Macaca mulatta: one gene and its partners. The protein of the gene in region 7 interacts with the protein of the main gene of each other region in a biochemical or structural test. Links are inferred from orthologs where the notes say so. Each region holds a gene or a part of one and is shown on either strand. Other genes may lie near its edges. The genes, in order: LIMK2, MAGI3, MAST2, GRID2IP, PDZRN4, HTRA1 and RPS6KA1.

The links.
Region 1: the proteins of RPS6KA1 (region 7) and LIMK2 interact in a test that uses a peptide from one of them, tested with the Homo sapiens proteins (2 studies listed by BioGRID and IntAct). The link is inferred for Macaca mulatta from reciprocal best matches to the Homo sapiens genes RPS6KA1 and LIMK2.
Region 2: the proteins of RPS6KA1 (region 7) and MAGI3 interact in a test that uses a peptide from one of them, tested with the Homo sapiens proteins (2 studies listed by BioGRID and IntAct). The link is inferred for Macaca mulatta from reciprocal best matches to the Homo sapiens genes RPS6KA1 and MAGI3.
Region 3: the proteins of RPS6KA1 (region 7) and MAST2 interact in a test that uses a peptide from one of them, tested with the Homo sapiens proteins (2 studies listed by BioGRID and IntAct, with this or other methods). The link is inferred for Macaca mulatta from reciprocal best matches to the Homo sapiens genes RPS6KA1 and MAST2.
Region 4: the proteins of RPS6KA1 (region 7) and GRID2IP interact in a test that uses a peptide from one of them, tested with the Homo sapiens proteins (2 studies listed by BioGRID and IntAct, with this or other methods). The link is inferred for Macaca mulatta from reciprocal best matches to the Homo sapiens genes RPS6KA1 and GRID2IP.
Region 5: the proteins of RPS6KA1 (region 7) and PDZRN4 interact in a test that uses a peptide from one of them, tested with the Homo sapiens proteins (2 studies listed by BioGRID and IntAct, with this or other methods). The link is inferred for Macaca mulatta from reciprocal best matches to the Homo sapiens genes RPS6KA1 and PDZRN4.
Region 6: the proteins of RPS6KA1 (region 7) and HTRA1 interact in a test that uses a peptide from one of them, tested with the Homo sapiens proteins (2 studies listed by BioGRID and IntAct, with this or other methods). The link is inferred for Macaca mulatta from reciprocal best matches to the Homo sapiens genes RPS6KA1 and HTRA1.

What each region holds. Positions count from the first base shown.
Region 1 is NC_133415.1:20,306,601-20,311,060, forward strand, and holds the start of LIMK2 (LIM domain kinase 2), read right to left. Parts: upstream 3,021-4,460; 5' UTR 2,881-3,020; coding exon 2,865-2,880; exon of another isoform or gene 1,797-2,864; intron 1-1,796. UniProt on the Homo sapiens protein: Serine/threonine-protein kinase that plays an essential role in the regulation of actin filament dynamics. Acts downstream of several Rho family GTPase signal transduction pathways.
Region 2 is NC_133406.1:126,867,637-126,872,140, forward strand, and holds the start of MAGI3 (membrane-associated guanylate kinase, WW and PDZ domain-containing protein 3), read right to left. Parts: upstream 2,859-4,504; 5' UTR 2,329-2,858; coding exon 2,013-2,328; intron 1-2,012.
Region 3 is NC_133406.1:194,801,705-194,806,096, forward strand, and holds the start of MAST2 (microtubule-associated serine/threonine-protein kinase 2), read right to left. Parts: upstream 2,845-4,392; 5' UTR 2,563-2,844; coding exon 2,386-2,562; intron 1-2,385. UniProt on the Homo sapiens protein: Appears to link the dystrophin/utrophin network with microtubule filaments via the syntrophins. Phosphorylation of DMD or UTRN may modulate their affinities for associated proteins. Functions in a multi-protein complex in spermatid maturation.
Region 4 is NC_133408.1:44,506,154-44,509,892, reverse strand, and holds part of GRID2IP (delphilin), read right to left. Parts: intron 3,642-3,739; coding exon 3,486-3,641; intron 3,352-3,485; coding exon 3,265-3,351; intron 2,602-3,264; coding exon 2,472-2,601; intron 2,386-2,471; coding exon 2,267-2,385; intron 1-2,266.
Region 5 is NC_133416.1:48,096,574-48,101,056, reverse strand, and holds the start of PDZRN4 (PDZ domain-containing RING finger protein 4), read right to left. Parts: upstream 2,817-4,483; 5' UTR 2,703-2,816; coding exon 2,055-2,702; intron 1-2,054.
Region 6 is NC_133414.1:134,542,724-134,547,121, reverse strand, and holds the start of HTRA1 (serine protease HTRA1 precursor), read right to left. Parts: upstream 2,885-4,398; 5' UTR 2,822-2,884; coding exon 2,347-2,821; intron 1-2,346. UniProt on the Homo sapiens protein: Serine protease with a variety of targets, including extracellular matrix proteins such as fibronectin. HTRA1-generated fibronectin fragments further induce synovial cells to up-regulate MMP1 and MMP3 production.
Region 7 is NC_133406.1:214,427,904-214,431,652, forward strand, and holds part of RPS6KA1 (ribosomal protein S6 kinase alpha-1), read right to left. Parts: intron 2,554-3,749; coding exon 2,423-2,553; intron 621-2,422; coding exon 495-620; intron 301-494; coding exon 211-300; intron 1-210. UniProt on the Homo sapiens protein: Serine/threonine-protein kinase that acts downstream of ERK (MAPK1/ERK2 and MAPK3/ERK1) signaling and mediates mitogenic and stress-induced activation of the transcription factors CREB1, ETV1/ER81 and NR4A1/NUR77, regulates translation through RPS6 and EIF4B phosphorylation, and mediates cellular proliferation, survival, and differentiation by modulating mTOR signaling and repressing pro-apoptotic function of BAD and DAPK1.

The DNA of each region.
Region 1 (4,460 bases), on a different chromosome or scaffold from region 7:
ACTAGCCGGGCGCGGTAGTGGGCGCCTGTAGTCCCAGCTACTCGGGAGGCTGAGGCAGGAGAATGGCGTGAACCCGGGAGGCGGAGCTTGCAGTGAGCCGAGATCGTGCTACTGCACTCCAGCCTGGGTGACAGAGCAAGACTCCGTCTCAAAAAAAAAAATAAATAAATAAATAAAAAGCCATACTTGGCTGGGCGCAGTGGCTCACGCCGGTAATCCTAGCACTTTGGGAGGCCAAGGTGGGTGGACTGCCTGAGCTCAGGAGTTTGAGACCAGCCTGGGCAACATGGTGAGAACCAGTCTCTACTAAAAATACAAAAAATTAGCTGGGCGAGGTAGCGCTTCCCTGTAGTCCCAGATACTCAGGAGGCTGAGGCAGAAGAATCACTTAAAGCCGGGAGGTGGAGGGTACAGTGAGTCTGGATCACGCCACTGTACTCCAGCATGGGCAACAACAGAGTGAGACTCTGCCTCCCCACCCCCCACAAAAAAAGCAAAAAACCATATTGACCTCCCAGCTCGAAGGCTCAAAGGCACTACATGCCTTCCTACCCTAGGGCCTTTTTATGCTGTTTCCTCTGCCTGGAATGTTCTGTGAGCTTTTTTTGCCAGACTAACTTTTACTTATCTCCAGGGGTCAGCATAAACTTGCAGTTTTAAGAAAAGTATTCCCTTCAAAAAAAAAAAAAAAGTAGAAGATGGGCATGGTGGTTTATGCCTGTAATCCCAGCACTTTGGGAGGCTGAGACAGGAGGATGGCTTGAAACTAGGAATTCAAGACCACCATGGGCAACATAGTGAGACCCTGTCTCTACCAAAACAGAAAAATAGAGAATACCCCTCACCCCTGGTGCACTCTTACAGCACTTATCTCAGTTGTTTACCTCAACTATTATGTATTGCAATTGTTAACATTTATTGCAATTGTTATAATTATTTATTGTCCATTTTTAGGATTATAAGCACCACAAAGCCAAGAACTATGTCACCATTGTACTCTTCAGCATTTAGCTAAGAAGAATCCAACAAATATTCTTTGAATGAAAGAATGCATAAATTAGTGCATCTAGAGGCTTTATGCCTCTAGACTACTGTACTGTGAAACCTTTCACAAATTTCTAAGAAACAGGGTTCAAGACAGGCAACCTATATTACACAGCTGTTAGAAAAAGTTACTGGAAATCGGCCGGGCACGGTGGCTCACACCTGTAATCCCAGCACTTTGGGAGGCGGAAGTGGGCAGATCACAAGGTCATCAGGAGTTCAAGACCGGCCTGGTCAATATGGTGAAACCCCATCTCTACTAAAAATACGAAAACAATTAGCCGGGCGTGGTGGCAGGCCCCTGTTGTCCCAGCTACTCGGGAGGCTGAGGTAGGAGAATCGCTTGAACCCGGAAGGCAGAGGTTGCAGTGAGCCGAGATCGTGCCACTGCACCCCAGCCTGGGCGACAGAGCAAGACTTCGACTCAAAAAAAAAAAAAAAAAAAAAGTTACTGGAGATCATTTGAGTTGAGGAATTTTGTAAGCTTAAAAAAAAATCTTTTTTAAGAGACAAGGCTTTGTTTTTAAAAGATGAGGTCTCGCTATATAGCCCAAGCCGGTCTCGAACTCCTGGACTCAAGCGATCCTCCTGCCCTGCCCTCCCAAAGTGCTGGGATTACAGGAAAATTTTTTTAGGCATTTCCACCCCCAGCCCTCTCCAGAAGTCTATTATCACCAATGAGGAGAAAATCCCATGCTCCCTTGGTGAGGAAGTGACCCACTGGTAGCCCAGTCCTTGTATTCAGGATGAAGGAAGTGACCGTCCACAGACGGAAAGCCAGGAAGCAGGGGGCAGATAGCCAGCCCCCCTCCACCTCAATGGCCTCTTGCCGCCTCTCCAAAGCTTCTGGACGCTGACCCTGGTGGACCCAGAGGCTGGGCCACCCACACAGGTGGCTGGGAAACATAGGAGACAGAAGGTTCCTGCTGCTGGGGGAACAGATGGGAAAGGCAGGAAGCTGCAGGGTGGTGTGTGAGGTGACGGGGAGGAGACGGCAGGAGCAGCTAACCCAACTCTGAAGTTACCCTTCACCTTTAAGATAACTCTTCCTTCCAGGAGGTGTTTGGCCGCATCCCTCTAGTCTTTAAGTCTAGAGAGGCCAAGGGAGCTTCCGCGGGAGGACTCAGAACCCCAGGCGGTCTACTTTCCTCACCTGTAGCAGAGATCTTTGAGCCCCAAAAAGAATGGTCCGATCTCTCCTTACCCTTAGTCCTATCCTAAACCTCAAGGGGCTCCATACTCCCCTATATTCTGCAAAGAGCTCCCAGCCCCGGGGAAATCCCAGGCACCAAGATGCCCGCGAGAAGCCTTGGGTCCTGGCAGGGAAGTCACATCCTCCTTCATTTCCCTCAGAAAACCCAGAACCCCGGGTAACTCTCCTAATTGTCCTGAACCCTAGAGAATCCTGTACTCCTCAAATTCCACAGAGCTTCCACTCTAAGTGAACCCCATGCTTTACAACTTCCTTAAAAAGGCTTTAATTTGGGAGTCTGCGGCCGCCAGGTTCCTCCAAAAAGCTGGATTCCTGGCAAAGCCAGAATCTCTTCCTCCCGGGGACTTCAACTCGCGGGAAGCCGCCCAACCCGTCTGCCCCTCCGAGCCCTCTGTCTCCAGGATGCCCTACCTCCCCATTCCCAGAGTCCCACCCTCCAAATGCCTGGGGAGCGCTGTGCCCACCCCGCCTCCCAGCTCTTCTGAGGAGCTGGAACCCACGAGGATCCAACCAGCCCGAAACACCCGAGACCGCCAGTTTCCCTCAGGCGCCATGGACCTGGGCTTCGGAGATAACAGCGGGACAGGGCGGAGCAGCCCTTCCTTACCCGCCAGCGCGGACATGGTCCCGGGAGCGCGGAAATGGGGAGGAGGAGGCGGGGGACACAGCAACTCCCCTCAGCTCTGTACAGCTCCCTTCTGCTCCTGCCGCCGCCGCCTCAGGCGCGGGAGGACCACAGCCCCAGGCGCGAACGGGATGCACTGCCTACGGCGCCCCGGGAGGACCAAACCACACCTGGCACCGGGGACTGCCCGCCGAGGCCCCGCCCCGCCGCTCTCAGGACCCGCCCCCAGGCTCTGGCTCTGGCTCTGTAGCGGCCCTGGCGCCCCCTAGTGCGAGCGGTGTACCCTCGAGGTGCTCCGGCTGGTAAGGTTGATTCTGCGTGGGCCAGAAGGCTCAACACGGATCTAGTCCGCACCCATCTAGTCGCCTTCATTTTACAGATAGGGAAAGTTAAGGATCAGAGGCCAAGTTCAACTACCTCGAAATGGCTTCGCTCATTAGGAGGAGAGCTGGGATGGGAGCCCAGGCCTACTGACTGCCAGTCCAGAGCTCTTTCCAGTAGTGTTTGAAATCAGGAATATTACAGTGGAGGAGCCAGGTCTATCCCACAAACAGCTTTGAGGATGGACTTTTCTTAGAAGCTTCTAGCTCAGAGAAACCACTTCTCTGCGCCACTATGAGTAAGCGGACAGTAAATAATCGCTAAGTCAAAGATGGCTGCAGGCGACCAACCAGCTTTCGAGGAGCAGATCCTCAGCCAGGCCAATTAGGTACAGAAATGAGCGCAGGACGCTGGAGCTTGTGCGCCCCATTGGAAGACGAGCACTCCTCTGCAGGAACATGGGCCTACCATTCCCAGGTCTTCCAACTTTTCAAAACATGCCAAAAATCCAGATGTTTAGGTGAAATTTGCCACTTTTAAAAATGTTGATAGCATCAAAAAGGTTTTAAAATGCCATGTAGACCAAATGAAACACACTTGGCCACTAGATTTGCCCTGTGGGCTGCCAGTTTAGAATCTTCTATGAGGAGGAGGGATCACAGGACTGAGTTAGGACAGCTGACTGGGTTATGGCAGCTGCTAGCTGGCTGAGTAGCTTTGAGAACCACTTCCGCTCATTAGGTTTGGAAGGAGATTGGGGTCCTCTGTGTGATTAAGGTATTAACACATCATCAGCCAGGTCAGCTGGTCCCTGATGACCCACCCTCCCATCGGATTCTCTCACCCTGGGTCTTTCACAATTGTCATTTCCTTAGATCAGATTTAGATCACGGGAAAAGTGTCCAAATGACCAGAAAGAGGATGGGGCCCAGGGAAATGGATTCTGTCCCCCGCGCCCCCCACCCCTAACCAAAGACAAAGTTCAACCCAACTGCCTCTGGTCCCAGCAGTTGGTTAAGTAAAGGCAAAGGCAAAGGCGAGCACAATTCTCTTTCTTCCTGCTCTAATTCAAACCGGATGCCAGATTTTTCTCCTCTGGGTGTGGCAGGTGGCTCACGATGTCCTGAGTGTGCACAAAGTGCTGGGGAGGCTCTGTTCCACTTCCGTTAATTCCTGGGAACTCTTTTCAGTACTCAGTTTTATAGTTTCTAAGGAAATCAGTATAGTAAACACAAGATTGTGTACTGAATTAAAGTG
Region 2 (4,504 bases), about 88 Mb from region 7:
CTTTACTACTAATGACTACAAAATGTTCTGCGACCATTAATATGTTATTCCCTTTATTTTGGCTAAATCTTTAAAATAGAACAGTGTCTATGGCTGTCAAGAGGGTAAAACTGTATTACTCTAATAATGTCAACTACATATGGGGCATAGGATGCTTATCTAACACAGTTAATATGACTAATACTCTAAATCTTGAATTATTGTTAAATATAATACAAAGGTTGAGAAAATGTATAACAGGTAGATTAGACTAATGTGAAATAGCCATCTCTTCGGTCTTCTAAAAAAAAAAAATCACAATAATTTAGAAGACACCAGCTTCCATGTCAATATATCAACTTTAAAATTTCTAAAAATACGTTATATTTTCATCTTTGCCCCAACTACTCAAAACAAAACACAAAGCAATGATGCAGATGTTCTCATTATTCACTGACTCATGGGATTTGAACTAAGATTTGGCACCTAGACTAGTAAATGCTGTCTATATAGTCTTTTGCACATTACACACAGTGCGTGACTGGCTGAATTACAGCCCCAAAAGTCTTTCCTCTGCCTTTCACACACTGTAAAAGTTAGCGTTAAGAAAAAATTTTACAAATTCTCAAAACTATACAGAAAAAGCTGTTTAAAGTCTGCCAAAGTTTTAAAAAATTAACAACAATAAAAAGAAAACCTCACTACATAAACCCATACATTTAAAATGAATACGATGGAATAGGCTATAGAAAGAAAATCTTAATTATGATCTTAGGAGCATGTGAGTCTGTGTGTATATATATCCACAATACACAGACATATGTAAACCGCACCACAAACCATCAAGCCCCATTAAGCTCAAGGACTATTAAAGATATATTAATATTTCCAAAGCGAGCTGCTGAGAAAGAAATGAGAAGGAGATAACATATTAAATTTTTCTCCAGAATTTTCTAGCATTTTGCCATCAAGGGTGGACTGCTACCTAGCCCAGGTAACAATTAAGCAGCCCATTATATTTTGATGCACCGTATACTCAGTAGAGCACATTCAGGAAAAACAGTTTGGTTTCTAATAACGTTACAATCACCATTCTCTCTCCCACAAACATCTAAGACGACAGAATCACATTCTATCTATGCTGAAACAAAACCAACAATGCTGTCTATAACAAATTCATAAGAACTACTACATACTATCAGATCTCACTGTATGCTGTCTCTGATCAATGCTTTGAAACTGACGAGTATGCCATAAACGTAACGTGCTTTGCAGCAAATTTTACTAGCATAAAAGATACCAGGGCAAAGAGCCTCCTTTAACCCACCACTTGAACAAAATTCTGTAAAATCAAAAGCGTTACAGAAGCTTTCACTCCGCTAGGCACCTAAGTCTTCCTTCAAAACCCAGACTCTCTTCAACAGCTCCCTGAAAGCACACACCAGTCGGCCACATATCACATATTGTACCCTCATCGGTACTCAGACACCTGAACCACCTGGACTGACAGAGTTAGGCTGACAGCTCCGAGATGTCTGCTAGTGTGCAAGAAACACTGAAGCAGCTAAGCCCTTCCAGGTACACTAGGTGGTAACCTTGGCACCAAGTACTTCTATAGTAAAGACCCTTTTTCCCTGTTAGAAGATGCGTAAGATCGTTCCAAAGAAAATGCTACAATCCTAAGGACCTTTTTGCACAACAGAGAGCGGAAAAGGCTGGCCTTCTCTAGTCAAAAACTCTTGTCTGCGGGGGGAGATGGAGCTACAAATATAGAAAACTCAGCTTCTAGTCGCAATTCTGTGACAGCTAACACAGCTAGCAGGGCAACCTCGCCAAGCCAGAGCTCAGTTTTCCCATCGGCAAAATGGGACTCACCAACGCCACCCCTCCCCCTCGTCAAGGAGTCAGGCACACCCTAGAGGTCTAAGATTAACCCGGACCATACGCGGTGGGGAGGTGCCGTCGCTCCCAGGACGCCCACCCTGGCGCCCCTGTACCCAACACCCCGCGGCAGATACGCAGGGCCGGCGTACCTGGTTTCACAGTCTTGAGACGGATGGGCTCGCGGAAGTGGCGGATGACAGCCAGGGTGTCCCGGTTGGTGAGCCCGCTGACAGGCGTCCCGTTTACCTCCAGCAGCACATCGCCTGGGCTGGGCGCCTTGCCGGAGACGACGCAGCAGGTGCCCCCGCCGGGCTCCTCGCGGAGCCGCCCCAGGTAGGGGAACTCGCCACGCTCCGCGCCACCGCGGATCTCCGCGCCGAAGTCGCCCGGGGGCCCGGCCCAGGACACGGCGCACTCCTGCACCTTGCTGAGCCAGTGCTTCTTCTTCTTCAGCGTCTTCGACATCCCGAACCCCGCTGCACCATGGGGGAGACCCCGCGCGGGCGGCCGGGGCGCCGCTCCGGCCCCGTCTCAGCCCGGGGGCCCTGGGCGGCCCGCGCAGCCGGGTCAGGGGGGCCTCGCCGCTCCGGCCCCCACCCGGTGACCACAGCCCGCTGGGGGCCCGGCCGCTCCCAGACTAGTAAAGGCTCCGAGACGCCTCTTGGACGCCCCTCCCAGCTGCGCTCCCCGGGGCTGACCAGACTCCGCGAGGGCCAGCGCAGGTTAGGCTGAAGAAAGGAAAAGGGAATTGTCCCCAGGCGGTTCCAAAAGGGGCTTCGGGCGGGGTCACTGCCGCCGGCTGGTCCCCGGGCGCAGCGCCCGAGCGGCGGGAAAGGCTGAGGCGGGGGGGCGGTGAGGTGAAGGGGGAAGAGCCGGGAACGGGAAAAATCCGTCGGGGGCGCGCAGAAGCGCGCGTAGACCCGTCGCGGGATCGATCGTGCCCGCTGCGGAGCTGTAGCGCGGAGACCAACGCCTGCCCAAGCTGCCAGGAAACTGCCGCTTTCAAACCCGCCGCAACCTCCTCCTCCTCCCTTTTCCCTTCCCCCCGCCCTCGCCCATCCCTCATCCAGAGCCCCGCCCCCTCCTGCCGCGCGGCGCCCGGCGCGCTGCCGTCACAGGCCCGGCGCTTGGGAACGAGCCCCGGCCCCGGACTCTCGCGCCAGGGATTGGCCCCCGGCGGGCAGGGGGCGGACCGCCAACGAGAATGAGGACCACTGGTTGGTCGGTGCGAGTGGAGGAGGCGGGCACTAGAATGACTGAAGTTTAGAGAGGGTGGAAAGAAGAAGTTTGGAGAGTGAGGGAGGGCGCAGAGGAGGGGCAGGGGAGTGGAATGGGCTTCAGGTCGCAGGGCCGGGAGAGGCCCTCTGCGCGGCTGCTGGAGCCGAGGAAAACGCGAATCCGAGAGTGACCGAACTCCCCGAAGTGGGGGCGTGGCCGGCGAGTTAGGCGGAGACGCAGGCGGAGCCTCCGAGTCTGTGCGGGGCGCTGAGAGGGGCCGGTGTGCTTAGATTGGAAGACAACGTGCGGAGTCCTGACCCTGCCAAGGTTCCGGGGCCTCTAGGGTGGCCTGTTACAGCCGATAGCTTGCATTGAGTGGGTGTTTCTTGTTCATTCGTTCATTCAACAAATGTTGAATGAACGCCCATTGAGGCAGGGCTTCGGAGTCCGGTTGATGAAAGATATTATAAAATAGAGTCCGGCACTTTAACTGCTGTGTGACCTCAGACAAATTAGACAACCTCTCTGAGCCGCAGCGTCCTCAATGAAAAGTGAAGATTCCAGAAGATGTACAAAATAACTGCATAGTGCCGGGCAGTGTGTGGATCCCTCTTAAAGTTTGGTAGCTGCTGCTGCTGCTGATGATGATGATGACGATGACGATTTTGTGTTAGATATTGTGCTAGGTACTGGGATTCAAGGGTGAAGAAGCCCCGCTATTGAGGAGGTTACAGTCTAGTGGGAGAGACTGAGAAGTAAGCAGACTGCCTGAGGTGAGGGGGCGGGGTGGAGGTAGAGGTGGATTATTAAGAACTGGCCTGGTAGCCAGCAGACCTGGTTGGAGTCTTGACGTGCTACTGACTTGCTGTTTGACCTTGGCCAAATCTCAGTTAAAGGAGGTGAAGGGAGAGCGAACATCAAATAAAAGATACCGTAGATCCCTTCCAGCTCTAATTTTTCGAAAACTTCACTTCAGCTTTCTCTCTTCCCCGGCTTGACTCACACTCTTCCCTGTCTTTGGAATGCCCTTCAAACCATCTCTTTTAAAACTCCTATCCGTCATCATCCCAAATGCCAGCTCTTCCAGGTAGCTTTCTCTGATTTCTTGCCCTCAAGTGGAAAATGTTTTCTCTGAGCTATGATCTTTGTTTCACTTCTGCAGCATGCCATTTATTTGTGTAGTCTCCTGTCTCCCTTCAATAGTAGGTGAAAGCCCTTATTTAACTCCACAGAATCTCACCACACCTCGGATAGACTGGACCAAACTTCAATAGCTGCAGTGATTTGGTTGACATCATTGTATCAGTCAGGGTCCTGGCAGGAAACAAATGGCATTTTGCAAAGATGTGGGCAGGGTGTGGGAAACCACAAGAGAAGCCTGGAACCCTGAGGCTACAACTCCTAGATCTGTCCAATCAGGGGA
Region 3 (4,392 bases), about 20 Mb from region 7:
TGAGGCAGGAGAATGGCGTAAACCCAGGAGGTGGAGCTTGCAGTGAGCTGAGATCCGGCCACTGCATCCCAGCCTGGGCAACAGAGCAAGACTCCGTCTCAAAAAAAAAAAAAAAAAAAAAAAAGACATGATCTGAATGAAATAATTTGGTCACAAAAGAGTAGACTATGATTCCATTTATATGAAGTATTAGTTCAAAACAAACCTATACTGACAGAGGTGGTGAGGAAGGTTACATCTGTAAAAGGGTAGCGCTAGGAGAAAGCACAGGGAGCATTCCAGGCTACTGGGAATGTTCTCCATCCTCATGTGAGTTATGATCATACAGGTACTCATTCTATAATATTTCATGGACTGAATGAACCTTTGATTTGTCAAACCTCAATAAACAAGTAATCCTACACAAAAAAAGGTTTTGGTGACCTTAAAGACATCAAGTTTTGGGAAAGTATAAGTGAAGAAGCCAAACCATATTAGGGATGTATACAAGGTGAGGATGCTAAGACACTGAGTACAAACTCATTTTTCAAGAAGGTTGCTGGGGAAACAAGAGATAACAAAGTAGTTTGGGTAGGTTACACAATTCAGGGCAATTATGTTGTTTTGTTTTTATTTGTGATATAAAACAAAGAGAATAACAAGGGTCTAAGGCAAACAAAAGAGGATGAAATCAAGGACATAAGTAGAGAAATTAGCCTCAGAGAGGAGGATGAATACTTCTTTCTCTGAGACTGAAGCTAAGGATGAGTAAACACAAAAATCATAATATAAAGAGGAGGGAAAAATCAAGTAATCTTGAACTCTTCCATGAAATATGCAGTAAGGTCAACTGGACAGGTATACTGAGACAGGAAAGGATCTGGACTTCAAGTTCACTTTACAAGTTTTGACTAGATGATACTGTAGATAATGTAAAAGACAAGTGGTAGGCACACGGGGGAGTAAATACAGCAAGAGGACAATGCTCAGCAGCTGGAAGCAGGGGCAGAGATGGTCAATGGTGCAGTCTCCTCAGGGCTCAGTGGGGAATAAGAGGTGGAAGAACAAAACAGGGGAAAAGTCCAAGGGCTACCTAGCATGGTATATAATTTTTAAAGCGTCTAAAGGGCCGGGCACAGTGGCTCATGCCTGTAATCCCAGCTCTCTGGGAGGCCGAGGCGGGCAGATTACCTAAGGTCGGAGTTCGAGACCAGCCTGGCCAACATGGTGAAACCGTGTCTCTACTAAAAATACAAAAAAAATTAGCTGGGCATGGTGATGGGCACCTGTAATCCCAGCTACTCGGGAGGCTGAGGCAGGAGAATAGCCGGAATCCAGGAGGTAGAGGTTGCAGTGAGCCGAAAATAGCACCACTGCACTCTCGCCGGGGCCACAAAGCGAGACTTCGTCTCAAAAAAAAAAAAAAAGTGACTAAGGAAAATGCTAATTATCTGAGAGAAAAGAGGTAAGAGACCTATAAGAAGTCTTAAAATATTCAAGGATGAAGTCACTAGGATTCCGAATAGAACTGAACAAAAGGAAAGCTGTCACTAGAGTTCATTACTACAGGACATTTTTTTGCAAATCCAACAAGACCAAGGATCACTTATTATCGTTTCACTAAACTTACTACCGCTACTAGTGGCAGCTTCTCCTGCCTGATAAAACTGACCTTTATCCCCTACTCATAAATACACCTACTCTTGACTAATAAATTATATAAACACGTCCTGTTCATTCAGAAACTCCATGAATATTTATATGCTGCTGTGTTTTCCCAATAATGTATTTCAGTGGAAAACTAGAAGGCAAACGATAGATCTACGAATTCTGTTCACAAAATTGGGCTTAAGACTGCTCACATGCAGGTGTTTCACACGTGCTTTCTTGTGAAATAGATGGTTGGTAAAGAGAGCCTTAACAATGATTGTGAACACACTGGTACAAAAGTATAATGATGGCCAAATCAGAGAATGCTTGGGAGTGTCATCCGTTTTTACAATTTTAAGGACAACCTCTAGGAAACAGGATAATACTATATCAAATTGACTTTCCCCATCTTACACTATTTACTCCTATGGATAACTCAACGCCTCTTTAGTAAGCCTACTCGTTGCAGCTCACACACTCAGCCCACATTCCAGCGTCCTTTCGCCCCATCCAGAACCCCTGACTACCTCCTGCACCAATTTTTCATTCTTCTACTCCCCCATTTCCAATTCAACCCCAGGCCACCACTTCCATTTCTCCACTCCCCATCTCTCGGCCTCCCCAGACCTCCCACTCCTCCCCCGTAACTATTCAGACCCCACCCCTCCAAAGCTCCAGCCCGGGTCCTCCCGCCGGAGATCCCCTCCCCCACGGCTTCCATTCAGGTTCCCCCGCCCGGATCCCAACCCGCCCTACCTGCTCCTTGCCCTCGGGCCCCACGGGGCCCGTCCGCTCCTCTAGCCGCTGCCTCCCGGGCGGCGCTCGCCGGCGCGGGGGCAAGGACTGGGGCAGCTCCGCCGCCCGCTGAACTCCATCCTCCCGGCGGTCGGGCAGCGGCGGCTGCGGTCGGTCGCGGCAGCGGCTCCGCTTCATATCTGCAGCTGGGGCCCGCGGGCGTCAGCGCCGCGACTGTCCCGGCCCCGCACTGCCCCGGGCCGCAGCGCAGCCGCGCCAACCACCGCCCGCGGCCACCATGGCCGGGCGGACGCCCGAAGCCACCGACCCCAGCCAGCGGCGCCTTCGAGCCTTCTGGGGCCTCCGGCGCCGCGACCTTCTCTGCGCTCCTCACGGAAGAGACAGCATCGCTGCCGCCCCGCCTCGCCACCCGGCACACGCTGGGCAGGCCACCCGCCGCCGGCTCAGCCGCCTGCCTACAGCCAGCCTCCGGCCGGCCCCGCCCCTCACGCGCGCGCACCGGGAGCCCGCCCGCCACCTCCGGCCGCGCGCCGCCTCCCGCGCACGCGCCAGGGAACGGTCGCGAAGGACCCGCCCGTGGCCCTGGCGCGCAGTCGGAGGACCAGAAGGGGGCGGGGCTCTCAGCGCGCCAGCAGCGGCTGCGGACTCCCATTGAATCTTTCATTCATCCATTCATGAAATTGCCGGCCCAAGCTCAGTGCTGGGGACCCAAAAATGAGTTCGAGTCCATCGGTGTCCTCAAGGAACTAGGGAGAGAGGGGCCGGGAGCAGGAAGGAGACAGAATAACACAACTAATGAATAGAAGGCTAATGCGTGCCATTTTATTTAGTTCCTGCCAACCCTCACCTAATTCTCACATCACACTTAGGAGGCAAATCTGCGCATTCTCATATTACAGATAAAGACACTGAGGCGAAGTGAAATGCACCAGGTCACCCAGCAAATTAGTGATCAAACTAGACGTAATTCTGGCTTTTCTGTCCCTTTCCACTGTGTTTGCTCTTTCCGGACAGTAAGACAGTGTGGAAACGCCTATAAAAGTGGAAAAAGTGATGGATTCCTTCTGGGAGGAGGAGAGGACAAAAAAGGCATACAATGAAGTCATCGTGTAGAGCCCAGCCCAGTCTGCTGTGGCCTGGGTAGCCTGACCTGCTGCCTGCAGTGACTCATCTGCTCAGCAACATGTGGTGGTAGCTCAGCTCTGGCCTCCCTCTGGCTTCAGCTGGTCTGCCACATGTTGTGTTTTTCCTCTTTTGACCTAGAAGCCTTGCCTAAAGCCTTCACTGATTTGTCCTGGGCCTCTTCCCTAACCCCTTTCTGAGTAGTAAAAATAGCCAACACTGCGGAGTGCCCACTGGATACCACACACTATGCATTCAATTCACATATACACAAACAAGAAGTTGTATTTCCATTTTACAGTTGAGGAAATAGGCTCAAGTTATATAATATGCTCAACATCACACAGCTTATAAGTCCAGAGCCAGGACTCAAACCCAGGTCTGTCAGATGCAGACAGAAAGACAGTGCGGAAACTCCTATAAAAGTGGAAAAAGTGGGGGCTGGGCGTGGTGGCTCACGCCTATAATCCCAGCACTTTGGGAGGCCGAGGCGGGCTGATCACAAGGTCAGGAGATGGAGACCATCCTGGCTAGCATGGTGAAACCCCGTCACTACTAAAAATACAAAAACATTAGCCGGGCGTAGTGGTGGGCGCCTGTAGTCCCAGCTACTCGGGAGGCTGAGGCAGGAGAATGGCATGAAGCCGGGAGGGGGAGCTTGCAGTGAGCCGAGATCACGCCAATGCACTCCAGCCTGGGAGACAGTGCGAGACTCCGTCTCAAAAAAAAAAAAGTGGAAAAAGTGATGGATTCCTTCTGGGAGAAGGGCAAGACACACATAACCAATGTGCTCTAAAGCCTGTCACCAGCCTGCTCCTCTATTCCCTGCCCCAGTTCCTCACCACCCATCCAGTTACCTCAACCAGAAACCTGGAAATCATCCTG
Region 4 (3,739 bases), on a different chromosome or scaffold from region 7:
CTCCGCCTCCTGGGTCCAAGTGATTCTCCTGCCTCAGCCTTCTAAGTAGCTGGGATTACAGGCACATGGCACCACACCTGGCTAATTTTTGTATTTTTAGTAGAGACAGGGTTTCACCATGTTGGCCAGGCTGGTCTCGAACTCCTGACCTCAGGTGAATTGCCTTCCTTGGCCTCCCAAAGCGTTGGGATTACAGATATGAGCCACCGTGCCTGGACTGCCTTCATTTTATTTTTGAGACAGGGTCTCACTCTGTCACCCGGCTAGAGTGCAGTGGTGTGATCATACCTCACTGCAACCTTGAACTCCTGGGCTCAAGTGATCCTCTAGCCCCAGCCTCCTGAGTAGCTGGGACTACAGGCATGCACCACCATGCCAGGCTCATTTTCAAATTCTTTTGTAGAGATGGGGTCCCGCTATGTTGCCCAGGCTGTTCTCAAACTCCTGGCCTCAAGTGATCTCTCAGCTTTGACCTCCCAAAGTGCTGGGATTACAGGCATGAGCCACTGTACCTGGCCCAGAGGCTACCCTTGAATGTGACCATCTGTCTTGTCTCTGGGGACCTCCAAGCCCAAGGAAGCAGGCCAATACCCCTAGACTGAGGGATGCTAGAGTGGACTAACCCTCACCTAAACAGCCTCAGTTTTCACATCTGCAAAACATCTGGGTGGGCTGGGCACGGTGGCTCATGGCTGTAATCCCAGCACTTTGGGAGGCCGAGGCGGGTGAATCACGATGTCAGGAGTTTGAGACCAGCCTGACCAACATAGTGAAACCCCGTGTCTACTAAAAAATTCAAAAAATTAGCCGGGTGTGGTGGTGGGCACCTGTAAACCCAGCTACTTGGGAGGCTGAGGCAGAGGAAGTGCTTTAACCTGGGAGGTGGAGGTTGCAGTGAGCCGAGATCGCGCCATTGCACTCCAGCCTGGGCGACAGTGCGAGACTCCGTCTCAAAACAAAACAAAAATCTGGGTGTGAAGTGGGTGAAAGGAGATGGTGAAAAGCACCTTGCCCAAGCTGTAGAGTTTGCTTAATGATTCTCTGCAGATCTTCTGCCTAAGAGGAAGGGGCAGGGGTGGATCTGACATCAAATTCCTACTCAGACACTCACCCGCACCAGGCCCCATGTGCTGCAGTCAGAGATATGTGACAGGCGCTTTCATCACCTACTGCCCTGGCCACAGGCACAGCCCCCAGACCTCTCCTCCTTACCTAGCTTCAGCCTTAGGGAAAACCCTGTGTTCCCTGCCAAGGGGTGTTGGAGCCAGAGATGGGGAGCAGGGAGAAGTGCCACATGCCCTTCTTGCCTGTCTTCCTATCTGGGCCTCTGTCACCCACTGGCCAGGCCCTGCTGGGGGGCTCAGTGGGAATGTCCCACCCTGACAGGCTGCTCCTTGTAATTTTGAGACTTAGCTCTGGGCTACAGTGCCCCAGAGGACAGATGGGACAGTGGCTTTGGGGCACTCAAAAGAGCCCTGGCTTCAGTTACGCACAGACTTGGCATTATAAATGCCTTGGGATTGTAAATGACCCAGGGCTAAGCGCAGTGGCTCAGGCCTGTAATCCCAGCACTCTGAGAGGCTGAGGCAGGTGTATCACCTGAGGTCAGGAGTTCAAGACCAACCTGGAAAACACAGTGAACCCATGTCTCTACCAAAAATACAAAAATAAGCCAGATGTGGTGGTGGGTGCCTGTAATCCCAGCTACTTGGGAGGCTGAGGCAAGAGAATAGCTTGAACCTGGGAGGCGGAGGCTGCAGTGAGCCAAGATCGCCCAACTGCACTCTAGCCTGGGCAACAGAGCAAGGCTCTGTCTCAAAAAATAAATAAAATAAAATAAATAAATACATACATACATAAATACATAAAATAAAATAAAATAAATTTATAATCCAGGATGGGACACGGTGTTATGGCTCATGCCTGTAATCCCAGCACTCTGGGAGGTTGAGGCAGGCAGATCACTTGACCCCAAGAGTTTGAGATCAGCCTGGGCAACATGGCAAAACCCTGTCTCTACTAAAAATACAAAAATTAGCCAGGCATAGCCTGGGTGACAGAGTGAGGCCCTGTCCCAATCAATCAATCAATCAATCAATAAACAGCCCAGCATGGAGCCTCTTCCAGGAACCCTGGGTGCACAGCAGCCTGTGCCCAGAATCTCTGCAGGAAGTCAAGGTCTCCAGTGGCCACTGGAGCCATAGCCAGCTCCACCCAACCATCCCACCATCCAGCCTGGTGCAGGAACAGGCTGCTTAGAGGATGCTGACATGACCACTGCAAACTTGTCCTCGCTGGAGGGGGAAATGCTCTCGCAGGCATCCTGTATCTCGCTGATAGTGCCATGGAGGTCGGCCAGGTCGCTGGTCAGAGCCCGTTGGTTCACTGTAGGGAAAAGGACAGAGGCCACATGGGGCCACTCTCCCAGCCCAGGACAGCATGCCTCTGCCTCATCCACCCACCCAGCATACCTTTGGCAGCCAGGGGCACGGTGGGCAGGTCCTGAGCAAAGCCCAGGAGTTCAGGGAAGTGCTGGCTCAGCGATTTGGCAAGGATGTGCAGGAAAGTGGACTTCCCATCTACTGTCTTGGTGGAGTTCAGCTGCAAGTGACCCCCAACATACATCCCCATCAAGGACCCCATCAGATGGGGTCACATGGGCCCAGCTTCTCCTGGACTACTGTGGCATCAGTGATCAATTCTTGCCCCTCCCCCTTTTTTTTAAATAGCAGGGTCTTGCTCTATTGCCCAGACCAGAGTGCAGTGGCTCCATCATAGCTCACTACTGCCTCAAACCCCTAGGCTCAAGCAATCCTTCCACCTCAGTCTCCCAAGTAGCTTGGACTACAGGTATGTGTCATGCCTGGCCAATTATTTTTGTAGAACTGGGGTCTTGCTATGTTGTCCAGGCTAGTCTCCAACCCCTGGCCTCAAGTGATCCTCCCACCTTGGCCTCCAAAAGTGCTGGGATTACAGGCATGAGCCACCACATCCAGCTCAATCCCCAGCCTTTGACACTCTCTTTCCAACTCTTTCCCCTCACTCCATTTTTCCAAATCCTGGGAGTGTGTTCCCCTACACCACCACACCCCACCCTTTGCTGCAGTCACATCCTGGCTTCAATGTAGCCCTTTTCCTGCTAGGAGAAGAGCCCTCCTTGGTCACAATGTCCTCTCCTGCCCTCTGCCACAACTGAGCTAGGCTTGGCGTCAGCGCCTTGCTGCTAGAGCAAACCAGTTAATTGCTGCTGGCAGGCCCCCTCACCTCTGTCAGAAAGTTGATCTTGAAGCCAGTGGTCTTGTTGGTTTTGGGCTGTCCATCGTTGAGATAGTTGCCCATGGCCAACACAAACTGTGGACGAGAAGGTGGGCAGGTCCTGTCCTCCACCACCACCCACCCACCCTGCTCTCTGGATGGGCCTCCATGCTGGAAGCCCCAGGAGGCAGAGAAGCAGATAGGGTGCCAGGGAGGGTATGCCCCCTGACCTCCAGGATCTTGGCGAGCTTCCGACTGTTTTTGAGCTCCAGGGAGGCCTGGCGCAAGCATTCAAGGCTGCCACGGATCTCCTCTGTCTTCTCCTGAAGCGTGGCCTGGAAGTGGAGGCTGCGCAGGCGCGTCTTGTATTCGGGAACTGACAGCATCTGCCTCGAAGGCAGAGCCAGGAGTCACCCATCCCCTTCCTGGGACCCTCTGCCCCACTGCAGGCTTTGGGGTGGGGGGTCTGCTAAATGCTTGGGCC
Region 5 (4,483 bases), on a different chromosome or scaffold from region 7:
ATCTAAATCTGATTTCACTGTAATTGAAAACAGATTTCTGGTTAAACCTTGGAGGTATCTTTATTTTTCCCTCCATTACAGAAAAGTAAAATATAAATTATCAATAGTGTAAAATTTTTATTTTGTAAAGTCTTAAGGAATTTAAGAAACATGAACTATTTATAAATTTTAGTCATAATATTCATGTTGCTGTTGTAATGCAGAATATGTTAGGCTACTGTAGTCCTAATTTTAAATAATATTCCTACTTGGTTTTGCATAATTCCTGCAGAATAAAAAAATAAGGGTTTGTGCTTGGTAAAGTAGTATGCATTTTTTTTTCCTGCTGGCCGAATAATAGTAAAACAAGAATTATAGCTACAATGTTTATTAGTAAAGACTAACTTAAACATTGGATGAATTAGTGCTGGGCTAGGTGGGTTTATTCATGGTTATAGATGTTATTAACCTTTACTTGGAAATTATTTCTGAATGATAACATTCCATATGCATCATCATCACTACTATCAGCATCACGATATTTTCCCAGGAGCTTTTCCTAGGCAGTGCACAGAGCAGCCCCTACTGGTAGGAGAAAAACATTTCTGAGAAACACATAGAGGGTTTTGGCTAGTCTGCAAATCATGGGCAGTTTTTCTCACTTCTCAGAATCATAGCTTGACTTGTTGCATGGACTTTTCTGTAATATTATTCTAACTGTTGCTCCTTTCCTTCAACCACTGGTTTCCTAGACCTTGAAACCTGGACTGGTAATACAAAGCTTCTATCTGTGCTTTTCCCTGGGTCCTCCCATTTTGTAAATTTACCTGTATATATGCATGTATGTATATGCATATATGGACTAGAGAAAGAATCCTTGAAACCAGTCTTTTCATACACAGTGTGCATCCATTCATCAAGGTGGAAACATTTTAGTCCCTCTCACTTCAACGTTCTCATTTAGGTTCAAGACAGGCGCTTCTAAACTCAGTGCCTGAGTTGGAGGCAGTATGCAGCAGCCAGTCCCAAATGGGAATCTTTCTGGGTTGCTCCTCCCCGGGAGTGCTGAAGAATGAAAACAGCTCCTTGAATGGATCGCAAATTCTGCTAAATGCCTGCTCACCATGGCAGCGACCAAAAATGTCAAACACTGCGCAGAAGTCCTCCAGGAGAGAAGTTACAGCTTTATAAACAAGCCTCTTCACACGGAGTGCTGCAAAGAGGCTTGTTTATTCGGCCTGAAAGCGGGCGGGCGGACCAGGAGCGCAGCTCGGGGCCAGAAGCTTAGACAAAGAAGGGAAACAGCCACTGCCTGGGGGCTCTCAGGGCCGGTCTGACCACAGATGGAGGCTCTCGGACTGGACTTCCCAGGTCGCACACACACAATCTCAATCTCTGTCTCTCTCTCCACCAATAATGAGATCCCGAGGCAAGGAAGGCTTATTTAGGGAAAGTCAGAGTGATGAAAAGAACTCTGCAAGTCTAAGAAACCCCATCTCTCAGCTCCTGAGGCCGTCCTGGCCCCTACATGCCTCACAGTCCCCAACTTAGTAGAAGGCAGTTGATTCAGGCAGTGGCAGCGCAAGTGTCATCAGCACTGACACCAGTCCCAGGTGTGCGGCTGCCAGGGCCGCGGGGATGCTGGCTGCCGCGGGAGAGGAAAGGCTGGGCGGGGAAAGTCTGTGCTTTCCGGCTTTCCTTCTCGGATTTGCTTCAAGCACGGGACAAGGGTTCAAAAAATAGGCAGAGACGGTGGGCAGGAGGCTGAAAGATGGAGAAAGTAAGTCTGGATGGAAAACGAGTTTTCCCAATTCCTACTTTCCCGGCACAAAGTTAGAATCGAATCTGTTTAACTCTTTCCAATCGTAATATAAGCAGAAAAGGGACGATCCTTTACTTCGATGACAATCCATTCGAAAGATAATGACAGGAAAGTAATGATCAGGGTGTGATGCTTCCTGCTGCACAGTGAGGAAGGATGCCTAATTCCAAAGGAATCCTGAAGTGTCAGAAAGAACCGTTCCTCTTCCCACCCCAATCGACCATGCCGGCGGTGCCCACCCCCCTTTGCTTACCCTGCGGTGGCCGCCACCCAGGTCGCCGGCGAAGTTGCGGACGTGAGCCATGTATTGGGTGAACTTCTCCTGGTACCTGCGCGCCGTGAGCTGCACCTCGCCCTGCAGCGCCCAGAGCTGCGCCAGCAGCGCCTTCTCGCGCCGCCTCCAGGCGAGGACCCGAGGCCTGGGCCCCCGCCCGCGGCCACAGCGGCCGCTCGGCTGCCCCCCGCGCGCGCCCCCGCCCCGGCCAGCCCCGGGTGCCGGACTGCAGCCCCCCCGCGCGGGCACCTCCCCGCAGCCCAGCCCCGAAGCGCAGCTCGGGCGGCTGCGGAGGCGGCTGGCAGGGCCGAAGTCGCAGTGCTCGACGTGCGCCTCCAGCTCTTGCAGCCTGACCGAGTGGCCACAGCCGCGGGCGCGGTAGTCGCACTGGACGCGCAGCTTCTGGATGAGGCTGCGTAGCGGCAGCACCCGGTACAGCTCGCCGGGCGCCAAGGGCTGGCACTGCAGCGGGCACCGGCGCCGCCGCACCGCCCAGGGCAGCAGGCAGCTGGCGCAAAAGACGTGCCCGCACGGCGTGCACAGGGGCTCTTCAAGCACCTGACCGCACAGCTTGCACTCCAGAGCCGGGTCCACAGCTTCCGCGAAGCGCTCCAGGGCAAAGCCCATGTTAGGGATAGGAAAGAAAGGGGGAGTGAAAGCAGAGTCCGTCTTCTCCAAGCCCCCCTGCCTTCCCCGGCCCACCCCCGGGGCAGCCGCCTCGCGGCGGCGGCAGTGGCTAGTCGGAGAGAGGTGGCGGGTGGGAGGTGTGACCTCAGAGTTTGTTTGGCTTGAAGTTTTCAGGCTCCTGCTAGGTCCCCTGACTTCTCCCGTATTGACGCTAATAGAAGTAACCTCCAGAGACCCCCGCCTCCTTCGCTGCCCTGCGATTTACGTTCTTTCAAATTTTGGCCGCCAGCTTACAATGGTCCTTGGGAACACTGTATTCTCCTTTGCCTGAACAGTGGACTTCAAGCATCGAGGCTCCTCGCCCTGGGTAGGGCTGATGATGGGTACAGCGCTAATGTTGAGAAACAACTTTTAAATCCACCGCAATGTAAGCTTCGGGAGAGCAGAATCTTTTTGTCTATCTGGTTTTCCGCTGAATGCTCATGGCCCGCCCAGCGTCAAGTCTATCTCCAATATGTTTGAAATAGAAGCACTTTTGTTTCTTTCACATCAAAACTACAAAATCAGAAGTTAGGAAACTGTTACTTTAGGAAATCACTATTAGGAAAATAACACTAGGAAATCCACAGAGCCAGGCTTCTCAAACCATGATCCAGAAATCAGGTGAGTTAGAAAGGCGCGATCCTCCACCTAGCAGCAAAGATGGGGAAAAAGCCAAGCGCCCGCCTCAGGACACTGCCTTCTTAAGGAGCCCCTGAACAGCCATGCAAGGCCTGCTCCCGAGTGAGGAAGCTGGGATTCTGAGTCTGACTCCAGGTTCAGTTGCCACAGCATCCATCTTCTACTTCCACAGGCGTTTTACTACTGGGGACGGGAATGTGATCATTTGGGAACCTGGAAGGGAAAATTAAAGGTAAGGATGATGAAAGAAAGCAGTGAAATATAAATAAAATCTTAGTGGCTGCTTCCTTCTACTTACCCTGAATGAACCCTTTGTATCCAAATTGCCTCCCCTCCCAGTTTGACTCTTCAAATTGTGTACCATGACAAGCCGTCCTGAAAATACGCAGTAGGGCATGATTCCAAACCCTTCTTACTCCACTTCCTTTACCATCTTCTGAATCTTAGGAATGCAAAGAGATCCTGTCACCTGGCTGCATATTACTTACTGCCATTATCCTGAAGATGCTACCAGATGCTTGGGTGGGTTTTATAAATTCATCATTGATGATTCCTTGCTGCCAGTTGAGCCTTGTTCCTGGAAAGCTTGTACTTCTCTATGACACCAATGGCATCAGTTGGAATTGATGAGAACAGCTCCAGACTTTGTCTTTTAAATCCTTGGAGCTAACCGAAGAATTAGCGAAGACTAATAATAGAGGTTAATAACCTTCTGAGCCTTCTTTCCGTATGAAAGATGAGATTTTGTTAGCTGTTCAGTGACCCGTGAGGATTGGTGTGCTAGATGTTTAATATGCTTTTAAACTCTTTTTCAAAATAAGATGCTGTATTTCTCATTTAATACATATAGATTCATATGTGATAAAGTAACATTTGCCACTATGTTCCGAATTTCCCCCTCTCTTTTGACCTGTCTTGCTACAAATAAATAGGCAAACAATAAATTTCTGATTAAATAAGAAATCATTTAACATTAACAGCATGAAAATATTTTTGTGAATTGCATAAACTGGAGATGCATGTTCTAGAATTTATTCAAATACTTCTGGGCAGGAGAAATCCATTCCTTTCTTTAGCTACAGAAAAAGTTGTGACTTACA
Region 6 (4,398 bases), on a different chromosome or scaffold from region 7:
CCCTACGGAGCTCAACAAATATTTGCAAAAGAAGGAGGGAGGGATAAAAACAGCATTGTACCCACTCTGCCTCTCCCTCCTTTCAAAGCCACCATGCTTATCCCTCTGTGGCTGTCCCCTCACTGGTACACCGGGGCCCGCCGTGAGCCTGATGGCCAATGGGGGACCTGTTTTCCTCCACACAGGGACTCAGCCAACTCCAAAGCTTATTAAGCAACTTGCCTCACTAGCAATAAATTAGGCGACTCGCATGGTGCCAGCAACTCAGGACCCCGTGCAATGAGACCACAAACAGCGAGACCAGTAACAGCTGGCTTGTTTTGGACAAAAACATGCTTTTTCAATGTTGTTGCCTCACACCCAGATTATTGCAGTAGTCTAAACTCTCCACCCTGGATGCATTCCGCACACCACTGCTAGGTCAGCCCTACACTACACTAGGCTTTGAGTTGCCCCAGTTCAAGAACATCTGCACACAGGGCCCGGGGCACAGCCAGCCTCTTCAGCCCTGGGACTCTGGGCCACCAGCCTGGCTCACTCCTGCTGCCCTCCCCAAACATCCCCCAGCCACACTGATCTATTCACCTCCAAACAAGTCTTAGGCTTTGTGTATGCTGTTCCTGGCTCTGAGGGGGATGCAAGTCCAACCCACCGGGAAATTTACAGCACCTGACCCCTCTCCCACACCCTTGGAGTTAAGTGCTGGCCTGACTCCTCTGAATGAGGCTATCTGGGTTTAAACTCCAGCTGAGTGACCTTGGGCAAGTTTTTCAACCTTAGTTCCGCTATCTGTAAAACAGGAATGAGAAGCTGGGTGTGGTGGCATCCGCCTGTAGCCCCAGCCACTTGGGAGGCTGAAGCAGGAGAATCATTGAGTCCAGGGGTGGGAGGCTGCAGTGAGCCATGATCACACCACTATACTCCAGCCTGGGCGACAGAGGGAGACCCTGTCTCTTAAGAAGAAAAAAAGAGAGAGAGAGAGAGGAGAAACTCCCTCCTCATGAGACCAAATGAGGTCACAGAGGTAACACACCCGGCACACAGACTGAGTGCTCAATAGGCGTGTGCTATCATCATGCCCATTCTCTAGTCTGCGGGATCACTTGTCTCCGGGACAACTCTCTACTGCCTAACTAGGCTGAGTTTCCCGAGGGCTGTGCTCCTGCGTTAGTGAAATACACAATCTCGAATTTCACCCAATTCGGCTCTGGCACCTTCCGGTCCATGTAAGCCAAACTATGCCAAGTCCTAGTTGGTCATACTGAACCATATTCCTATAAAGTAAAATCTAGACCAGTCCCTCTGCACTGTGCTCTCCTATGCCCCTCTCCTGGCACTGCCCGAGTTGAGGAGGCAGCGCTGGGGTCGGGCAGCAGCCGCATGGCTGCGCCTAAGCGCACTGCCAAGCCCCGCTGTCTGGTTCTACACCGCGGGACTGGCCGCCGCTGAACTCGATACTATTCTTCCACATGGCCTCTGCCTGAAGATGGGAAGCATCTCTCCGGAAGGTCCCGCGAGAGAGTTAGACATTGCTCCACTCCACTCCTGCCCCCATCACCACCATCTCCCCTGCCGAACAGGTCCTGTATGCGGCAGGAGGGAGGGGCAGGCTCCTTCCTCATTACTAACCCGGTCCCTTCTACGCCTCTGCAGATTTCGTGATCCAAAGCCCGATTCAGCTTATTCAAAAGGAGCCACTTTCATTTTTGTAGGGCTGGCTCAAAACGAGGAAAGCAACACAGGCAGCAACGCCGCCGAAACGAGTGCGATGCCAAACCGTTCCCTGCCCGGGGTAGACTTTTTGGGGAAACTCCGGCGGGGGCCGGCAAACACTCTTCCTTTCCAAAAGAGTTACATACAGTTTTCACGGAGCGGTCCCGTGATCAAAGTAATGCATTTTAAAGGGGACGGAGGAAGCAAATAGAAAAAGCAACAGAAATGACTTCTTGTGGTCCTGAAGCCACTCTGCAAGGCTCCAGTTCCTAGTCCTGAACTTCTCTCCTCCCTTTATGCCCCCACTCCTCTTATTTGTCCTCGGCTCCCCGCGCTGTGTGGCTGCCCTCAGGGCGCTCCGCGGCAGGTCGCCAGGCGTCTCGAGCCCCAGAGTGCAGGCCCGGCGCACCGGCATCGTCTGGGCGCAGAACCGGCCCCGGGCTGGGCGCGAAGCTCGTTTCCGAGGCAGCCCGCGGAAAGCCGCCACCCCGGGGCCCACCTGCCTGTCCCCGAGAGTTGCCCTGGCCACCCCGCAACGCTTCACTGCCCCTCGGTCTGCCCACCAGTCCCGCAGAAGCAGGTCCGAGCTGGGATGGAGAGAATGGGGTGCTGCCCAGGAGCGCGGCAGAGTACCTTGGCCACAGGCGCCGCGCTGCAAGACGATGACCGGCGGCCGGTGCAGCCTCTCGGAGCGGCGGCTGGCGGCGCGCAGCTGGCACAGGTTGGCGTAGGTGTTGGCGTCGCTGCCGCACACCGGTTCGTTGCTGGCGCACACACAGAGGCCAGCCTGCGCGCGTCGCCGCACCGTGGCCGAGGCTGGCACCCCGAAGGGCACCACGCACTGCAGCCCCTCGCCGCACGGGCCCTCCTGCAGGCCGCACGCGGCGCCCTCCGGCGCGCCGCACACCTCGCAGCAGCCGCACGCGTCCCGGGCCCGGCCGCCCTCGCAGTGCTCCGGCTGCGGCGGGCAGCGCGCCGGCTCGCAGCGCTCGGGGCACCCGGTGGCCAAAGGCGCCGAGCGGCCGGCCCGGGACAGCTGCGCCGAGGCGGGCGCCGCCAGCAGCAGCAGTAGCAGCAGTGGGAGCAGCGCGGCGCGCGGGATCTGCATGGCGACTCTGGCGGCGGCGGCGGCCGTGGCGGCTGACAGGGCGAGGGCCGGAGAGCGGCGCCGGGGAAAGTGCGGGAGGGCCTCGGGGGCAGCGGGTGCGAGTGCGCGCGGCCGCGCGGCCCAGCCCATTGGCCTCGCAGCGGTGACGAGCCGCCTTGGGGACGGGCACGGCGCCCGGGAGGGGGGCCGACCGGATGGCGGGAGGGCGGACGACTGGACCGGGACCGCCCGCGGCGGGGGCAGGGCGGGCGCGCCCGGGCACGGCGGAGCTCGTGGGGCGCGGGCGGGGCAGTGCACAGACCCGCCCTCTCGCGGGACTCAGTTTCCCCGTCTGCGCGCCCCACATATTCGCCTTCCGCAGGTTCTCTCGCTGCGATTCGCGTCCTTCAAACTAAAGGAACTTTGCAAGGGGGCCCTGCGGCGTCTCCCCGCGGGAGCGCTCGGGAAAGTTCCTGCAAATCGCCCGACTGGGGGCCTGCCCGGGAGGCTCGGACTGGGCCAGGCAGGGACTGCAGGGGCCTCTGCGCAGACCCGGGGCGTTGGCGGCACCGCGGACCCCGGTCACGCGCTGGTTCTGCCCCCGGTACCCCGCATGCGGGACCCTGACCGCGGGGCCTGTGCGGCCGGACGAAGGCAGCGTCCGCGGAGCTGCCAGAAAGCCCGCGCCCGGACCCACAGTGAAGTGATAAAAGCAGAGAGCAGAAGTAATTTGAACAGAATCCTTCACACGTCTGATTCTTTTAAACAGTTGTTGTGGGTGGCACGCGTGTCCGTACTCGCAGAGAGCTCAGGAAGCAGCTGGGAGGCTCGTAACTGGAGAGGGTGCAGCGGTCTCAGATGGGAAAGGGGTTTGCTCCTGTTTGAATTTTTCACCACGTGCGTGATTATTTCAAAACACTTTTGTTATCAAAAATTTGATTTTCCACTGGAGAATCTTTGGTGCAGCCTTTGGGACAGATGCGAGTCTGAGAGTCATCAGGAGGGCCGAGGGCGACCCTGGAGGTGGGTCTGGGTGCCCAGGCAGCACCAGGCCTGTGGGCAGTAGTCCTGGGTCCACACTGAGCAGATGGGTACAGCTCGCGTCCAAGGACCTGAGAGGAGGCGGTTCGCCCAGCCCTCATCCGAAACCCTCAAACCTCCAACCCTACCCTGGGCAGAGGCACCCACGGTTGGGTGGGCCGGCAGAGCTGACTTTGGGATACAGTAGCAAGGGAGGGGGCTGGGGGCTTGGAGATTTTAATATTCTTCTGTATTTGGGTTGTTCCCTCGTGCACACGTTACTTTTCCAATACAAATAGTTTAAAAAGTAAACTCCAAATACTTATAAGCCCCCTCAAAGCACCTTCCAAATATGAACCTTGTTAATGTCCAAAGTCCAGAGGGGTCCCTCAGAAAGGCCCAGGAGCCTGGGGCATGGGAAAGCTGTTGGGGTCCCCATGCTGACTCCCTGGACTCCAAACGACATTCCATAAAGCCAGGGCCTCATGGCTGCAGAAGGGAGGCCTTTACCCAGAATCCCTTCAGGCCTGGATCCTGGAGAGGCAGAGGCCTCTGCTGATGAGAAGCCCTGAGTTCTT
Region 7 (3,749 bases):
AGGATGCTGACACTGGTCCCCTGATAGGCAAGAACGTCCTCAGAAAATGCCTGAGTCTGAAGGAGGGCCCTTGGGGGATGGGCAGACTGGAGGGACCAAGGGACCTCTTTCCCCTCCACATGACCACCGGAAAGAGGATGAGAAGTCAAAGGAATGGCAACCCTGAGACAAATCCTAGAGAGTCGAGTTCCTGGTCCCCACCCCACTCACATCTTTCAGAGTAATGATGTTGGGGTGCTGGCCGTACCGCAGAAGAATCTCAATCTCTTCTGAAGGATCCCGCTTGCTCTTATCAATGACCTGAAGAAAGTGGGTGCATGTGGCAGTGTCAGGGTGACAGGCTCCAGGGTCCTTCCTTGCCATGGAGCAGGCCTGGAGGTCTCGGCCACACAATCTTTCATACATCTGCAGAGCTCAGGCACCACCCCTCCCCACCAGACGGGGACCTGCCCCCGGCCCGGCAGCCTTGGCTGAGACGTGGTCAGGAGGCCCACCTTGACAGCATACTCCATGTTGGTGGCCTTGTGGACACAGCGCTTGCACACAGAGTAGGAGCCCACACCAATCGTCTCCTTTACCACGTAGCCGTCGCTAAAAACCAGGTTCTTCCCATGGAGTTGCTGTAGGAGACCAAAAATTGTGGCTGACCCCTGGCTCCAGAGTGCTAAGGGTCATCTCCCAGCATTCAAGGTCTTGGCTCAGTAGAGACAGCACCGGGGAAGGGCCAGGAGACTTGGCGTAGAGTGTTGGCCATGTGACTGCAGGTGAGAGCCTGCCCCTCTCTGGGCCTCAGTTTTCTACTCTATATGTTGGGCATACTCGCTGGCTCCCAGCCTGCCTGGACTGCAGCCTGTGGTCAGAGGGCAGCGCAGGGAGTGGGCAAGAGGGTCACAACACACATGGAGAGGACTTTAGTTCTGAAAAGCCTGGGCAGGCCTGGGAGGGACGCAGGAGCCCTGAGCTGAGTTCCAGCTGTGCCACTAAGTATGGCTTTGAGTGACTTGCCTCCCCTTTCTGGGGTGTCACAGCTCAACTCAGGGGGTGTCTCAAGGTTCTGGGACATTAGCCATAGCAATGCTGAATGGTGCTTAGTGTGTGCTGCGTGCCAGGCAGTATTCTAAGCACTTTCATCAGGTGACTACATGCCCCACGGCCAGCCCTGGCTTGCGCCTGCGGTCCTTGCATCCAGTCTGATTTAATATTTGTCCTGGATAAAGATGTCCCAGTTTGGAAAATAAATTACATAGTCACCTTAACTTTATTTTTTATTTATTTATTTTTTGAGATAGAGTCTTGCGCTGTTGCTAGGCTGGAGTGCAGTGGTGCATTCTCGGCTCACTGCAACCTCTGCCTCCCGGGTTCAAGCAATTCTCGTGTCTCAGCCTCCCAAGTAGCTGGGACTATAGGCACATGCCAACACGCCCATCAGATTTTTGTAGTTTTAGAGATGGGGTTTCACCATGTCGGCCAGACGGGTCTGTTTAAATTCCTGCCTCAAGCAATCCACCCTCCTCGACCTCCCAAAGTGCTGGCATTACAGGCATGAGCCACTGTGCCCAGCCCACTTTAACTTTACATGTATTAACTCTAATAATCCTCATAATAGCTCTATGGAGGAAGATTCTATCATTTCCCCATTTACAGATAAGGAAACTGAGGCACCAGGAAGGGAAGTATCTCATCTAAAGTCCATTATCTGGTCGGGTGCTCATGTCTGTAATCTCAGCACTTTGGGAGGCTGAGGTGGGTGGATCACTTGAGGTCAGGAGTTTGACACCTAGCCAACATGGTAAAATCCCATCTGTACTAAAAATACAACAACAACAAAATTAGCTGGGTGTGGTGGTGTACATCTGTAGTCCCAGCTATTCGGGAGGCTGAGGCAGGAGAACTGCTTGAACCTGGGAGGTGGAGGCTGCAGTGAGCTGAGATTGTGCCACTGCACTCCAGCCTGGGCAACAGAGCAAGACTATGTCTCAAAAACAAACAAAAAAAACCCCAACGTCCATTATCTTGTGAATCTGGAACCCATGCAATGAGCTGCACAGTCTACATTCTTGCCTCTCAACCTGAAACTTTCATGAGGCAGTGGAAGTGTACAAATGGGGAACAAGTGTGAAGAGATACAAGTTCTTTGCTACCCTTATGCCAGAGACACGACAGTCACTCTGCACCATCACCCTGGGCACCCCCTGGCATGTACCCAGACCCTGCTCTGTGCTGGGAAATGTATAGCCATATCATCATCCAATTATCAGGGCCACAGTGTGAGGTGGGCCTTACTGTCCCTGTTTTATGTTGGAGACCCTACGGGTCCCACAGTGGCACGAGGGTATGAACCCGGTTCTGTCCAACTCAGAGCCTGTATTCACAGCCATTCTTTAGAAAAGGATAACGGAGCAGCAGCCCCTGCCCCCCTCACCTGTACCACCGAGTGCAGGGGTGCCTGCGGGGCGCGAGGCTTGCCGTCGTCCTCCATCAGGCCAGTGGCCACGAAGCTGAAGCCCCGGAACAGCTGATGGGCCCCAGCGCTAGGGGGGATGCCTGGGGAATCTGTAGGGGCAGGAGGGGAATGTGAGGGTACCTGAGGAGGTCCCCTCGACCCTGAGGCAGCCCAGCAAAGGGGGAGCACAGGGCCTGAGACCTGCCTCAGGGGCTGGCCATGGCAGGAGCCTGCAGAGGGCCTGTCCATCCCAGGCCTTAGCCCGACTGCTCATATGTGTTTAGACCAGTCCAGTCCTGATGCATGAGGAACATTAAAGACTCTCACATCCACTTCCATCCCAGGCCAAGACAGTTCGTCCCTTCCTGGATGCTCCCTCCCCAGCTTCTCCGTCTTACATCAGCCCCTTCAGGTCCATCCCTGCACAGTAGCCAAAGGGAAGGTTCCAACCACAAATCTACCACCCTGCCCGCACCTTTCAAAGGTGCCCCTCTGCCTTCAGGAGTAAGCCCAGCTTCTGAGTCTGGCAATGGAGGGCCTTGTGATCCTCCTCTTCTCTCTCCACACCACAGCTGAGCCACGTTGGACTTCCCAGATCCTTAAAGGGGTCTCTGAGCCCTTGCACACACTGTTCCCTTTAACTAGATAATCCATTGCTTGCCTATCCTTCAGGACTCAGCTCACTCGCTCCCTCCTCTGAGAAGCCTTGCCTCATGCTGCTTCTCTGGCCCCTGACTCCTACAAAGCTGCACCTGTCACACTGCCCAGCAGACTGCTTAGAGAACTGCTGTCCCTGTCATCAGAGGTGTGCAAGTACAGTGAGAAAAGCACCCCATCGTGGATCATTTGAGGTTAGGAGTTCCAGACCAGCTTGGCCAACATGGTGAAACCCCGTCTCTACTAAAAATACAAAAATTGGCCGGGCGCGGTGGCTCAAGCCTGTAATCCCAGCACTTTGGGAGGCCGAGACGGGCAGATCACGAGGTCAGGAGATCGAGACCATCCTGGCTAACACGGTGAAACCCCATCTCTACTAAAAAAAAAATACAAAAAACTAGCCGGGCGGGTGGCGGGCGCCTGTAGTCCCAGCTACCAGGGAGGCTGAGGCAGGAGAATGGCGTAAACCCAGGAGGTGGAGCTTGCAGTGAGCCAAGATCCGGCCACTGCACTTCAGCCTGGGCGGCAGAGTGAGACTTCGTCTCAAAAACAAACAAACAAACAAACAAACAAACAAACAAAAATTAGCCAGGCGTGCTGGCACATGCCTGTAATCCCAGCTACTGAGGAGGCTGAGGCAGGGGAATCG